Linked DNA regions of Drosophila melanogaster. The gene in region 1 interacts genetically with each later gene. Each region holds a gene or a part of one and is shown in the gene's direction. Other genes may lie near its edges. The genes, in order: pds5 and wapl.

Region 1 (7,815 bases):
CAGTGTCCTGAGAAAATGATATGTGGATCCAAGTCGCTGATGATGGCTCTCAACAGGGGTCCTCCGCCAATGAGCAGCGGGGCATGGGATACGCCAATTCTTAGACGATCCGCATTGTTATCCCTATCCGGGTTGCTAAAGTCCAATAGCATGCGGTTTATCTTGAAGAAGCGTAATCGATTGTCATAGTCAAAGAGGTCTTCACTCATGAATTCGTTCTCAAAGCGTCTTTGGTTCGAGTTGGATATGTAGTCGCCATTCTCGCCGCCAATATCATTGTCACCCGGCACATGGACGCGCTGAAAAAAGGCAGAGATCATGCGGAACTGTTAGGTTTTAAGGGGTCAATCCCATTCGCAAAGTTGTATAATCGCTTTGGAAAAACTTTAAATTGAAATAATTATAGGTGCAACAACAATTTAAGGTGAAGCAAAAGCAGTACTCCTTACTTTTTTGTAGTTCTTATTCTGATAAATTCGTCTGAACCGCTGAACGTACTGCTTGTACTCTTGAGCCGTGGCAATGTTGCCTTCGTCCAACAGATCGCCCAGGAACACTATGATGTGAGGCTGTGTAAAGGCAAGAGCTCGCTCGAAAGTCTTCGCCAGGTATCTATCCGAATCGTACCTGGCTAAAGGACTGTGCGAAGATCGATCGTAGGAGTTTCCCAGTATCTGGGGATCAGCAATAAGCAGCAGGCGCGTGCAATTATCTATGTGGGAAAAATAGCTTGTTATGATGCGACTCAAAAACTGTGTTACGGCTTACCTAGTTTGCAATCGATTGGCTGCCAACTGGACTGGGCCATGTAGTAAACTATAAACTCGTTGAAGAAGACCAGCAGCAACGTAAGAGCCACAAAACCGCGGCACACTAATCTGTTTCTTTCGGGGATTATGGAAGGATTAAATAGTTTCGGTTAACAAAAGTAACGTCAACTATGACCCACCTATTGACGACGCGCAAGGAAGCCATAATCCCGGCTATGCCGCATCGGTTTGGATTGCTTGATTAATACTTTCGGTTGTCCTCTGGCAAATGCAACTGGCTTACATTGCGTCTCTATATGTACAATCTATATTTAAATACGCACTGCCCATGCAATATTTACGTAAGAATGCTCATATTTTCGGGAATGTAGAGCTGCTGCAACGGACGGCGCACATCTGACCACAACCGGCCCGCATCATCGCTTTCAGGGCGCACACGCTTAATTGGATTAGAAAGCAAAACATCTAGAACGGCCGGAACGTTGTGTTGCGTCCATTACCACATTCCTCCGATGTTTCGCCAATGCGCGCCATTGGCTTTTGAACGCGGGCAATTCCGTTACAGCGTTTGCCGGCTCCAGGTGCCAATAATTGTGCAATTATCTTTATCCTATGTTTGCACTTCTTGCGCCGCGACGGCTATGTGGCAACGCTACAGCTGTTTGCCAAGCACAACAAACAAAATTAGAGGTGAGCGCGTGATTAGCACTAACTGAATGCTCAAAGCAAAACAAACATGATACTCAAATGTTGTTCTTAAGTAAATTTATAAATACAGTTTAATAAGTTATTTATATCCCGATTTCATTCCGATTATATATCCGATTTCGTGACACGACCCCTTCCGCTCTCCTCGCTAGCACCAACAACACGTCAATGCTAATCAGCTGAAATGCAATCATGTACTAATCTGCGAAGAGTCTGGCCACACTTCCAAAAAACCTCTGGCAACGCTTCGTGCGTGGATTAATGGCGTGCCACTCCACATAAATGCTCCTTGGTTTTTGCTTATTTTTAACAACATAAGCACCGCAAAAGACTCTTGTAACCGAACATGTGTAAATAGCTGGACAGGATCAATCCCATCCATAGTGCAGTGATTCGAAGGAGACGCGCGCTAAGCGGTCATCGAAAGCAGGGGTTCGCAAAATTGCAAAAAAATTGTGCCGCTTCCTGCCCGTTGTGAAAAGTAAGATTCCGAGTTCCAAAAACTGCGCCGCAGTTTAATATAAAACATTGGGTAAATTGCAGTGGCAAGGGCGCTACAATTTGGGCGCTCTCTATTTGTTGTTTGCGAAAAAGAAATAACCAAACAATATTGGCCACTCTGTGTGCTTGTGGTGCTGCTGCCCATGTGTGTGTGTGCTTGTGTGGAGCTTCGTGCTTGTGTGTTCGTGATGCCACCCTCCTCCACTTTTTCAATGTTATTTTGAGGGTCGCATTCGTTGTTGTTGCTGTCGCACGGAATTGTTGCACCTGCCACTGAATCCTTGAAATCCTGGCTTGCAGGTAGCTCCCATTGGCGGTGAGGATGGCGGACATAGTGTACCCCACCGGATGCCGGCCGCTGGTCGAGGATTTGGGCACAGACGAGCTGATAAGGCGCCTCAAGGTGAGTCCTGCCCCTGGTTCCCTTAGCAAAACTTCTCACTTAGAATGATTCTGTTTTACAGACCCTCGCCAATGTTCTGCAGACCATGGACCAGGACGACAATCTCTACCAGCAATACATACCATTGGCCCTCCATCTGCTGGACGACTTCTTTATGCAACATCCATCCCGTGATGTCCAGCTCTTAATCGCGTGCTGCGTGGCGGATGTCCTGCGGGTTTATGCGCCAGAGGCTCCCTACAAAGAGCAAGATCAAATCAAAACTATATTTAAGTTTTTTATCAAGCAACTGCACGGTCTGAAGGATCCGCGCGATCCCTCTTTCAAGCGTTACTTCTATCTGCTGGAGAACCTTGCTTTTGTCAAGTCTTTTAATATGTGTTTCGAACTGGAGGACTGCCAAGAAATCTTCCAAGACCTGTTTAGTACCATCTTCAAGATTGTCAAGTAAGTCGAGCTCTTCCTTTATCCTGCGAACTCTTTATAATCACATGTTATATAATTTTCTAGTGACCAGCACAGTGTCAAGGTGACTAACTTTTTTCTAGATGTGCTAAGCCCGTTGATCACAGAAGCCGACAATCTGTCGGTGGAATTGTTGGATCTCATTCTGATTAACATCGTAGAGCCGTACAAATCTAACAACAAGTTTGCCTGCCAATTAACAGAACAACTTCTCACTAAAACGGGCGATGCTCTCGAGTCCACCATCAAAATGGTAATATTTCGTTGATCTTTGGTGCACCACGTTATTCAACCTAATCCCTGATCTACAGTTCTTTAACCGTGCTCTGGTCATGGATAAGCCAAACACAAAACTGTCCATTACAAACAAAATCTATGATATCATTTACGAGCTTAACCGCATCAATGCAGGCTTGTTGTGTTCAGTGCTACCTCAGCTGGAGAACAAACTGCTGTCCACGGACGATGCTGAGAGGCTAAGTGAGTAATTTATCAGCATGTACCTCTATTTGCATATTAATAAACATATTTTCGTTACTACAGAGGCAACCACTCTCTTGTCTCGTATGTTCTCCGAAAAGGACTCGCAACTAGCGAAAAAGTACCCCAACCTGTTGAAAATCTTCTTTGGGCGCTTCTGCGACATCACCGAACCAGTTCGCATCAAGTGTGTTCAGTCATCCATGCACTTCCTGCTCAATCACCCAAGTCTTCAGCACGATATCACCGAGAAATTGCGGCTTCGAAATCACGATCTTGACGAAGTGGTCCGCCACGAGGTGGTAATGGCTATTGTGGAAACTGCCAAGCGCGACTTCACCCTCGTTCTCGAAGCGCCCGATCTACTAGAAATTGTGCGCGAGCGGACGCTAGATAAGAAGTACAAAATTCGCAGGGATGCGATGAATGGTCTGGCCTACATCTACAAGCGCGCAATTTGCGAACCCAACGATCTAAGCACTGGCCTTAAGGTCAGGGTTGACTGGATTAAGAACAAGATACTACATGGATACTACAAAGTGGGCTTGGAGGACCGCCTGCTTGTGGAACGCCTACTTATCACCTGCCTGGTTCCCTATAAACTAGCTCCGGAAGAGCGCATGAAGAAGCTATATCATTTGCTAGGCGATCTCGATGCCAATGCCACCAAGGCTTTCGTCGAGCTGCAGAAGAACCAAATGAAGACACGCAATACGGTCAGTGATTGGATCAAGCTACACCACTCTAAGGAGTTCACGCCGCGCGTACTTAGTCAGCTCAGCGCCAAGCAGGCCAACATTGCCAAGTGGGTTCTATAATAAGTTTTCTTTTGATAGTTTGTAACCAGTGATGTGTTTTTTTTTCTTCAGACTGCTTCCAGATCCCCTAAAAGCGGCAGAGTACCTAACCCAGTTTAGCAACAACCTGCGAAAAGATGCTCAGCTCCTACGATGCATTAACATTGTCCTTAAACGCGACGTAAGCTGTCGGGAGTGTGCTGACACGATGGGAGTTCTCCTGAAAAAGCTTGGCGCCCACGTCCAATCGAATCTGTATTACAACACAGTTAAGATGCTGATTGAGCGCGTGGCATCAGTGATGGTGGACAAGGAGTCTATTGGCGTACTTATTAGGTAAATTGCTTTTAAGTGCCCTTTTGCCAGACTTAATCCGGTAATCTTTTTGCTCAGCCTAATTGAACAATGCATCGAGAAAGGGTCCATGTGTGAAGAGATCGGAATTTCGGCTCAGGAAGCGGGCGAGCGCGGACTCAAGTTGTTGGCCGTGAGTATAGAGATAATTTAAGTTATGATACAGAAATCCATTTGATTGCTTTATACTTGCAGATGCTTTCATACGTCTTTTCGGCTCATTTCTTCACCGATACTTCGCTGCGTCATTTAATTTCCCTGCTCAGTTACGAGCAGGATTATGTTGCACCACTGGTGCTAAAGACACTAACTCATCTGGGGCGCTATCAGCCACTCATTGACGACCCTACACCGGCTATTCTCGACGAGCTGGCTCCGGTGTGCAAGGACTTCGCACTTATTGGAACCCCCAAGCAAGCAAAGCACGCGGTGCGATGTATTTTCGTAAACAGCCAGTCGTCGGCTTCCACTGATGGAGCAACAAGTGGAGCTGGAAGTGCGTCCACAACTACACAAACAGTGCATCCTATTTTCAACGAGATCATCGAGACGCTTCGCCTAAAACTGACACCAAACTGTGAGCATCAGCGCACAAAGATTGTGACCTTGGGTCACATTGCCTACAATATGCCACAGGCCTTCCTAACGCCCATTAAGAATATGATTGCGCGACGAATTGTCAAAGAGCTGCTTATCCAAGAAGTTCCTGCGCAGCGAGACTACGAACTGCCAGAGGACAGTGATTGGTGTGCCCAAGAGAAACTACCGCCGGACACTCTATGTAAGCTGGATGCGCTCAAGGCTATGGCCAGGTGGCTTTTGGGATTGCGTACCGATGAGCACGCTGCCCAGAAAACATTCCGAATGCTGGCGGCGTTTGTTAACCAACGAGGCGATTTGCTCGGCCAGAACCGTCTTTGCGGTGCCGAGAAATCTTGGCTGCGCCTCGGGGCAGCCTGCGCCATGCTCAAAGTGTGCGAACAAAAGGGCGTAGGTGATCAGTACAGCGCTGAGCAGTATTTGCAGCTTTCCCAGCTGATGGTGAGTAGAGACATTCATCTTGTGCTTAGAACTTAGTCTCAATGTCTATCTCGGTGTTCCCGTAGGCTGATCCGGTGCCAGAAGTTCGGGAAATCTTTGCTCGCAAGCTGCACAAAGGATTAAGCAGAAGTTTGCCCAGGAACTGTTTGCCGCTGGACTTCATGGGCTTGTATGTGCTGGCTGGTCTAGAGACTGAGAGGAAGTGAGTAGTTCAAGAAACCATCCGATCCGTTCGGAGAAGTATTGATAAATATTTTCAACAGATTGCAAGACCTTGTGCGTCACTATGCAGAAACGGATGTAAACAAACGGCGGGAATATCTCAAGACTGTGGCTATGACATGTAGGTGTTTTACTTTTGGAATCATATTGTGTATTTTAACCATTAAATCAAATTATTCCAGCTCCCGACAGCTCAACGGAGTCACAATCATTACACATACTACCTGACTACATGCTGGCTTTCGCTATTCCCGTGCTGGTCCACGATCCACGCTTCACGAATCACGAGGACTACGTACAGCTGCGCAAGATGGAGAAGTGCCTGCGTTTCATTCTGGAGCCGCTGATGGCCAAACGAGAAACGTTTGTCCATAGCTTCTACAAGCAGCTGCTGCAGCTGATAAAGCATCGCGAGTTCAGTCTGGGGTCGGACAAGCGCGACAACTATGTATGTCACTCAATCATTTTCCCAGGCTTTCCCTTCTAAATTATATTTATACATATATTTTTCGGTTATCAGAAAATGTGGGCGCTCTGCGATCTTGCCATGTACATTATCGACTCCAAGTTCAGTCCATTTGATGGCAACACGAGCACCTTTTCCATGCCGCTGGCTTTGCCAGAAATGTATTATAAAGAGCCTGCCGTTGCGAATTTCCAAAACAATGACGTCTATATACCGCTGGACGTGTATACGCTGGGAGCCAAATCCACGAGCAAAGCTGCCGCAACAGCAATGACAACGTCGCGAGCAGCAGTGGCTCCAAAGAGACCGGCGGAACAGTCAATCATGGATGATGAAAATCCGCAGGTGAGTGAGGTCCTTGGAAAATACTGAGAATGAATCTAACTAGTGTGTGAAATTTGATTTCAGGAGAACAATCTGTTCGACAACATACGAGCGGCTGACACTACGGAGCCCATGGCCAAACGAACGCGCGCAGGAGCCGCTTCAGCCAAATCATAGGGGCTGGGATGGCGCAGATTGGAGGTGGAGAGAGCGCATACTTGTTAGTTTAGTTATGTTTAGTCTAGGCGCCTAAGTTAACTAAATATTTAAGACGTAGGAAAGACCACGATAGTTGTTAAACCGACACTACCTTTATCCACACCATGCAACTCACAACTAAGCACCCAGAATTCGGATTGTTCAGTTTCGCATTCAGTATGTACTATATCAATTTTGTGAGATACACCAAAAACACAAACATCAAAAAAAGAAAAACGAAAAAAGTGTCGAAAAATCTGTTAACCGCAACTCTGTAAAAGTAATTATTTATCATTTAAAATGTTTTATCCTGTTCTTTTATAGTGTTTGATTTATTGATTGATTTTACCATTATTCTTAGACTATTGTATATCGAATAAAAAAAGGAAAGTATATCGCGCATAAGTTAAAGTACGAAGTAAAGTAATGAAAACGTAAACAGAGCCTTATTAAGTAATTAAAATTAACTTTTCTATGATCGCAGTTAATTTTTAGTTAATGTAACATCATCATAATACATACAATTGTCTCGTTAAATTCAACAAGTATGCATTCAAAATGCATTCAAAAAGAAAACCTAAAAGCGTAAGAATTGGAAAGAAAACTACAAAGATAAAAATAAAATGAATACACACATTAAACTATAAAACATGTACATTAAACAATTATTATGGTTTTTAAATTACAAATAAACGTATGATTATTATTTAAATGTTAAAATGGATATCGAAAATGGGCTTTTAGTTTAAATTATTAAAATGTTGTACTTTTTTAATATAAAGTAAGTTTAAAAAATGGCTAAAATATAATTTTTGTTTCTAACTTTTTTCTTTTCAATTTCAAAGTCGCTCTTAGGAGGGCTAAAACTAATTTGAATATTGATAACAAATGAACTATCGATAAGAGGCCGTCGATAGTTCACGGTGCAACATCAACTCTCCCATCACTAGTTCCAATTGCATTTTCTGCGTTGTTTTTTTTCGGGGGTGTGACGTTTTTCTTGTTGTTTTTGTGCTATTGTGAAATAAACCAAACAATTGTCGAGTTAAATAGACACTGATTGTTGTTTTGCCGCGCAGTTCGAAC
Region 2 (4,976 bases), on another chromosome or scaffold:
CGCCCTCTTCGTGGGCCTGCTGCTCTACCATCTAAAATTCAAGCGGCTGATTGACCTCATCAGCTACATGCCGGGTCCTCCCGTGCTGCCGCTGGTCGGCCATGGCCACCACTTCATCGGCAAGCCGCCGCACGAGATGGTCAAGAAGATTTTCGAGTTCATGGAGACCTACTCCAAGGACCAGGTGCTCAAGGTGTGGCTGGGACCCGAGCTGAACGTGCTCATGGGCAACCCCAAGGACGTCGAGGTCGTCCTGGGCACGTTGCGCTTCAACGACAAGGCGGGTGAATACAAGGCCCTGGAGCCGTGGCTAAAGGAGGGTCTGCTGGTCAGTCGCGGTCGGAAGTGGCACAAGCGACGCAAAATTATCACGCCCGCCTTCCACTTCAAGATCCTCGACCAGTTCGTTGAGGTCTTCGAGAAGGGGTCGCGAGATTTGCTCCGGAATATGGAGCAGGATCGCCTGAAGCACGGCGACTCCGGCTTTAGCCTCTACGACTGGATCAATCTCTGCACCATGGACACGATCTGCGGTAGGGATCTAGGTCTTTAATTTTTATCATCTAGCAAATGGTGGTGCTTTGAAGAATGGGCTCTTGGTATGGCCTGAGTAAGGCCATAGTATCTATTTGTAAAAGCTTTGATAGCATTCCTTTTTCTATTCCAGAAACTGCCATGGGTGTTTCCATCAATGCGCAGTCGAATGCAGACTCCGAGTACGTCCAGGCGGTGAAGACCATATCAATGGTGCTGCACAAGCGGATGTTCAACATTCTGTACCGCTTCGACCTTACCTACATGCTGACCCCACTGGCGAGGGCGGAGAAGAAGGCCCTGAACGTGCTTCACCAGTTCACAGAGAAGATCATCGTGCAGCGCAGGGAGGAGCTCATCCGCGAAGGAAGCAGCCAGGAGAGCAGCAATGATGACGCGGACGTGGGCGCCAAGCGAAAGATGGCCTTCCTGGACATCCTTCTGCAGTCGACCGTCGACGAACGGCCCCTGAGCAACTTGGACATTCGCGAGGAAGTGGACACCTTCATGTTCGAGGGCCACGACACCACCTCTTCGGCCCTGATGTTCTTCTTCTACAACATAGCCACCCACCCGGAGGCGCAGAAGAAGTGCTTTGAGGAGATCCGGTCCGTGGTGGGCAATGACAAGAGCACGCCGGTGAGCTATGAGCTGCTGAACCAGCTGCACTACGTCGACCTGTGCGTGAAGGAGACCCTTCGAATGTATCCGTCTGTACCGCTGCTGGGTCGTAAGGTTCTCGAGGACTGCGAGATCAGTGAGTACAGTGCGTAGAGGAGTAAAGTACTCAATTTTAACTTGCCTTTCCCCAATGCAGATGGAAAGCTCATCCCGGCGGGCACGAATATCGGCATCTCCCCTCTCTACTTGGGCAGACGGGAGGAGCTCTTTAGCGAGCCCAATATCTTCAAGCCGGAACGGTTCGATGTGGTCACCACCGCCGAGAAGCTGAATCCGTACGCGTACATTCCGTTCTCGGCCGGACCTCGCAACTGCATTGGCCAGAAGTTCGCCATGCTGGAGATCAAGGCCATCGTGGCCAATGTGCTCCGGCACTACGAGGTTGACTTTGTGGGCGACTCCTCGGAACCACCCGTGCTGATCGCCGAACTTATTCTGCGTACCAAGGAACCCTTGATGTTCAAGGTGCGGGAGCGAGTCTACTGAACCACAACATCGCATTATATCTTTACGCTTGTCAATTAAAATATATTCAAAAATGTGAACGATTGGCGGCAAAGTCTTTGCTTTGAGTGAAGGCCGAACAGTAAGGTCATGGTCACACTGGCTTAGGGGAGGACTAATGTCGATAGCGCGAATGCTGTTCGCTTAATTTTGCGCCACACGTTTCGATAGTGAGTCCTACGCTATCGTCTACGGCATATCGATAGTTTCATGAATCGTTAGCCCAGCTCTAAAATAGTGTTTCTCTTCTCTCGTGTAGAAAAACAGAGAAATTAAACTTTTTCGCGCATTTCGCCATTGCAAAAATTGAAATTCGCGATCGCGTTCGTTTACCCTGCAAATTGCACAACTACGCGCTCTCGATTGGCGCCGATTTAGCGGAGAATCGCGAAATCAAAGAAATATTCGCAGCAAGAAGAAGAACGGAACGGCCAGTATAATCGTATTGTTGTTTGTGTTGGTGTTAGTTGTGTGTGTGTTTGTGGGTGTTGTTGTTGCTGCTGCTACTGCTTCTGGGATGATGCTGTAAAGTAAAAGTGGTGGCAAAAGCACTAAGCCCGTGGTGCGACGCAAAAAACACGCTGCAGTTAGCGGCCAGGCGGAAAATGATAAGAGTGATGGTGGCTTGAGCCCCGAGTAATCGCTAAAATATCGAGCACACAGTTCGTGCAAATCAAATTGCGCCAATAAGCAAAAGCAAACGCAAACATCGTTTGTTTTATTGCATTCCACGCACACACACACCTATATATATGCACACGCACGCAGTCGCATACATATGCGCTGCAGCAGCAACAGAGATTTTTTTATTTGACCACACTCACTCACACACGCAACCACATGCATCCACGCAGCAAACGGATAACAACAAAAACAAAGAGAGCAGCCAAATGTTTCGCCTGAGGTGAGTTGTTGATTTTTGTGAATTCCGTTTGGCGATTTTTACGACAGTAAAGTGCAACAAATTGTTTGTTTTTCGGCCTTTGCTTTGGAAATTGGTCTTGATTTGATTTCGGTGCGTGTGTGTGTGAAAATTGGAAATCGCCTGTGTGCGTGTGTGTGCGCGCACTATCGAGTGCTCTCGCTCGCACCGACGTACTCCTTACGTGCCCGCGTTTGTTGTGTTTTGCTGTTGCTGCACTTCTCTCTGCCCAGCCAAACAAATCGCTCACTTTTAGTAAAATTCAATAACTGTCCGCAGTGCGAAACATGAATTAATAGTTAATGATTGACGAGCACGGCCTGCATTGTGGTCCATGTCCTGCGAATCCTCCAACCACCTTTTCGCTGCCTCCGCGGAGGGAGAGTAGGGTCTCTTTCGGGTTTTGGATTCCTAATCCTTGGATTGGTACTAGCTATAAAACTAGGTTTCTTGTCATCCGTGCCCTTATCTGGCCCTATCTGGGCAGCCAAATCCAACTAGGTTCGATATAATCCCCAGCATGTGCTCATTTCTTGGTCCAAATAGGCCTGCAAATACACATATGTTAAATCGATTTACTGTTACCTAGTTTCTCTGCAGGATAATGAAATGGTAAATAACGAATTGTACAGCTGTTTCCGAATGGTTGTATGTATTGTAGTAAAATTCATGTTGATAAAGTCCGAACTTTACTTTGATGAGCGATGCGTTTGCTGTGTGCTAGCCAAGAAGCCGGTTAACTAATGTTTCTCCATTTCCAGTGACCACATCACCAAGGATTAGAGTCAGCAACACGGAGTTAGAGGATACCAGAAGCAGCAAAGGAACCACCGCTAGCGAAGATGTCGCGCTGGGGCAAGAACATCGTGGTGCCGCTGGACTCACTCTGCAAGGAGAAGGAGAACACCAACCGGCCCACTGTCGCCCGTTCCGTGGGCACCGTTGGCAAGTGGGGCAAGATGGGCTTCACCTCCACGCGCACCTACACCCTGCCCGCCATCCATCCTATGGCTGCGGCAGCGGCGGCTGCTGCAGCAGCCGCCAGTCCCTCCCAGAGTCCCGCCTCCACGCAGGATCACGATCCCAACGACCTGTCCGTTTCGGTTCCGGAGCCGCCGAAGCCGAAAAAGTTCTTCAAATCGAGGAATACAGCTCCGCCGGAGGTCATAGCTCAGATCATTCAGCAGCTACCGCACTGTGGAGCCGGCGCATCACCCATGCGAGACCATTTCTCGTCGGCGGGTGCGGGTGCTGGTGGTCTCACGCCTACTTCCGGTGCCCAGGAGGCGGGCGGAGTGAAGCTGAAGCCGGGCAAGGGCGCCAGTTCCGCAGAGCGGAAGCGCAAATCGCCGAAAAAGAAGGCAGCAACAACGTCAGCCTCCACGCCCTCGACGCCTGGTGCGTTCTACGGCGCCTCCGATCGAGATGGCGATGGGCTAAGCGATCCCGCCTCAGAGCAGCCGGAGCAACCGTCCAGTGCCTCGGGCAAGCAGAAGCAGAAGAAGCCGAAGGAGGAGAAGAAGCTGAAGCCAGAGGCGCCGCCTTCGCGGGTACTGGGACGCGCCCGCAAGGCTGTCAACTACCGCGAAGTGGACGAGGACGAGCGCTATCCCACGCCCACCAAGGATCTGATCATTCCCAAAGCGGGGCGCCAACCGGCTGAAGTGGCGGCTACGGCAACACTTGCCGCCGCTTCGTCGGAAGCCTTCATCAGTTCCACGTTTGGCAGCCCTGGATCGGAGCCGTCGTTACCCCCGCCTACGTCAGCGCCAAGTGCATCTGCGTCCACCTCGTCCCAACTGCCCTCCGCATCAGGCAGCGCGTCAAATCCTCCCAGCGCCTCCCGCACGCCAGAACATCCTCCTATCGTGCTACGCATCTCCAAGGTGAGTTTTGAATTGCCTGGAATTTGAATTATTTTAAACTCTAGACCTAAATATTATGCTTCCACTTCTCTCTATTTCCTAATAGTAACCTACCTAATAGTAATTTAAATTAATATATCCACCACACTAGTGGGTGCCCCTTCTTTTTTGATTTTCACCACTCCGTTTCTCGGTACATTTCACTCAGAGAAAAAGTTATCCAACTCCTAACTATTTGCCGAGTACCCCAAATGCGATCGCCCTCCCTCTCTCTCACACGCGCTCCGCCATCTCTTTCGCACTTAATCGCCCGGCCACCTCTCTCTTGCTCAACAATGCTTCGCCTTTCTCCGTTTCCCTCTCTTTCTCCTACCATTCCCTGCTCACTGTGTGTGGGAAAGGGAAGGCAGCGCAGCGCGCGAAGCAGTGTTAAATTACGCGCGCTTTTACATGGCAAACCAACGGAATTG

The links.
Region 2: of pds5 (region 1) and wapl, changing one enhances a phenotype caused by changing the other (phenotypic enhancement), as found in Drosophila melanogaster (one study listed by BioGRID).

The regions. Positions count from the first base shown.
Region 1 is NT_033778.4:12,026,274-12,034,088, forward strand, and holds pds5 (precocious dissociation of sisters 5), read left to right. Parts: upstream 1-1,711; 5' UTR 1,712-1,959; intron 1,960-2,021; exon of another isoform or gene 2,022-2,279; 5' UTR 2,280-2,301; coding exon 2,302-2,382; intron 2,383-2,443; coding exon 2,444-2,829; intron 2,830-2,892; coding exon 2,893-3,100; intron 3,101-3,158; coding exon 3,159-3,327; intron 3,328-3,390; coding exon 3,391-4,132; intron 4,133-4,196; coding exon 4,197-4,460; intron 4,461-4,517; coding exon 4,518-4,611; intron 4,612-4,673; coding exon 4,674-5,519; intron 5,520-5,584; coding exon 5,585-5,721; intron 5,722-5,782; coding exon 5,783-5,862; intron 5,863-5,923; coding exon 5,924-6,189; intron 6,190-6,261; coding exon 6,262-6,552; intron 6,553-6,615; coding exon 6,616-6,708; 3' UTR 6,709-7,452; downstream 7,453-7,815. Other genes in the region: Mppe (metallophosphoesterase), read right to left, coding at 1-326, 450-712, 769-884, 950-975.
Region 2 is NC_004354.4:2,155,940-2,160,915, reverse strand, and holds the start of wapl (wings apart-like), read left to right. Parts: upstream 1-1,932; 5' UTR 1,933-2,623; intron 2,624-3,402; 5' UTR 3,403-3,483; coding exon 3,484-4,527; intron 4,528-4,976. Other genes in the region: Cyp4d1 (cytochrome P450 4d1), read left to right, coding at 1-533, 668-1,291, 1,352-1,701. UniProt on the Drosophila melanogaster protein: Has a role in female meiotic chromosome segregation in females; proximal heterochromatin is involved in chromosome pairing during female meiosis.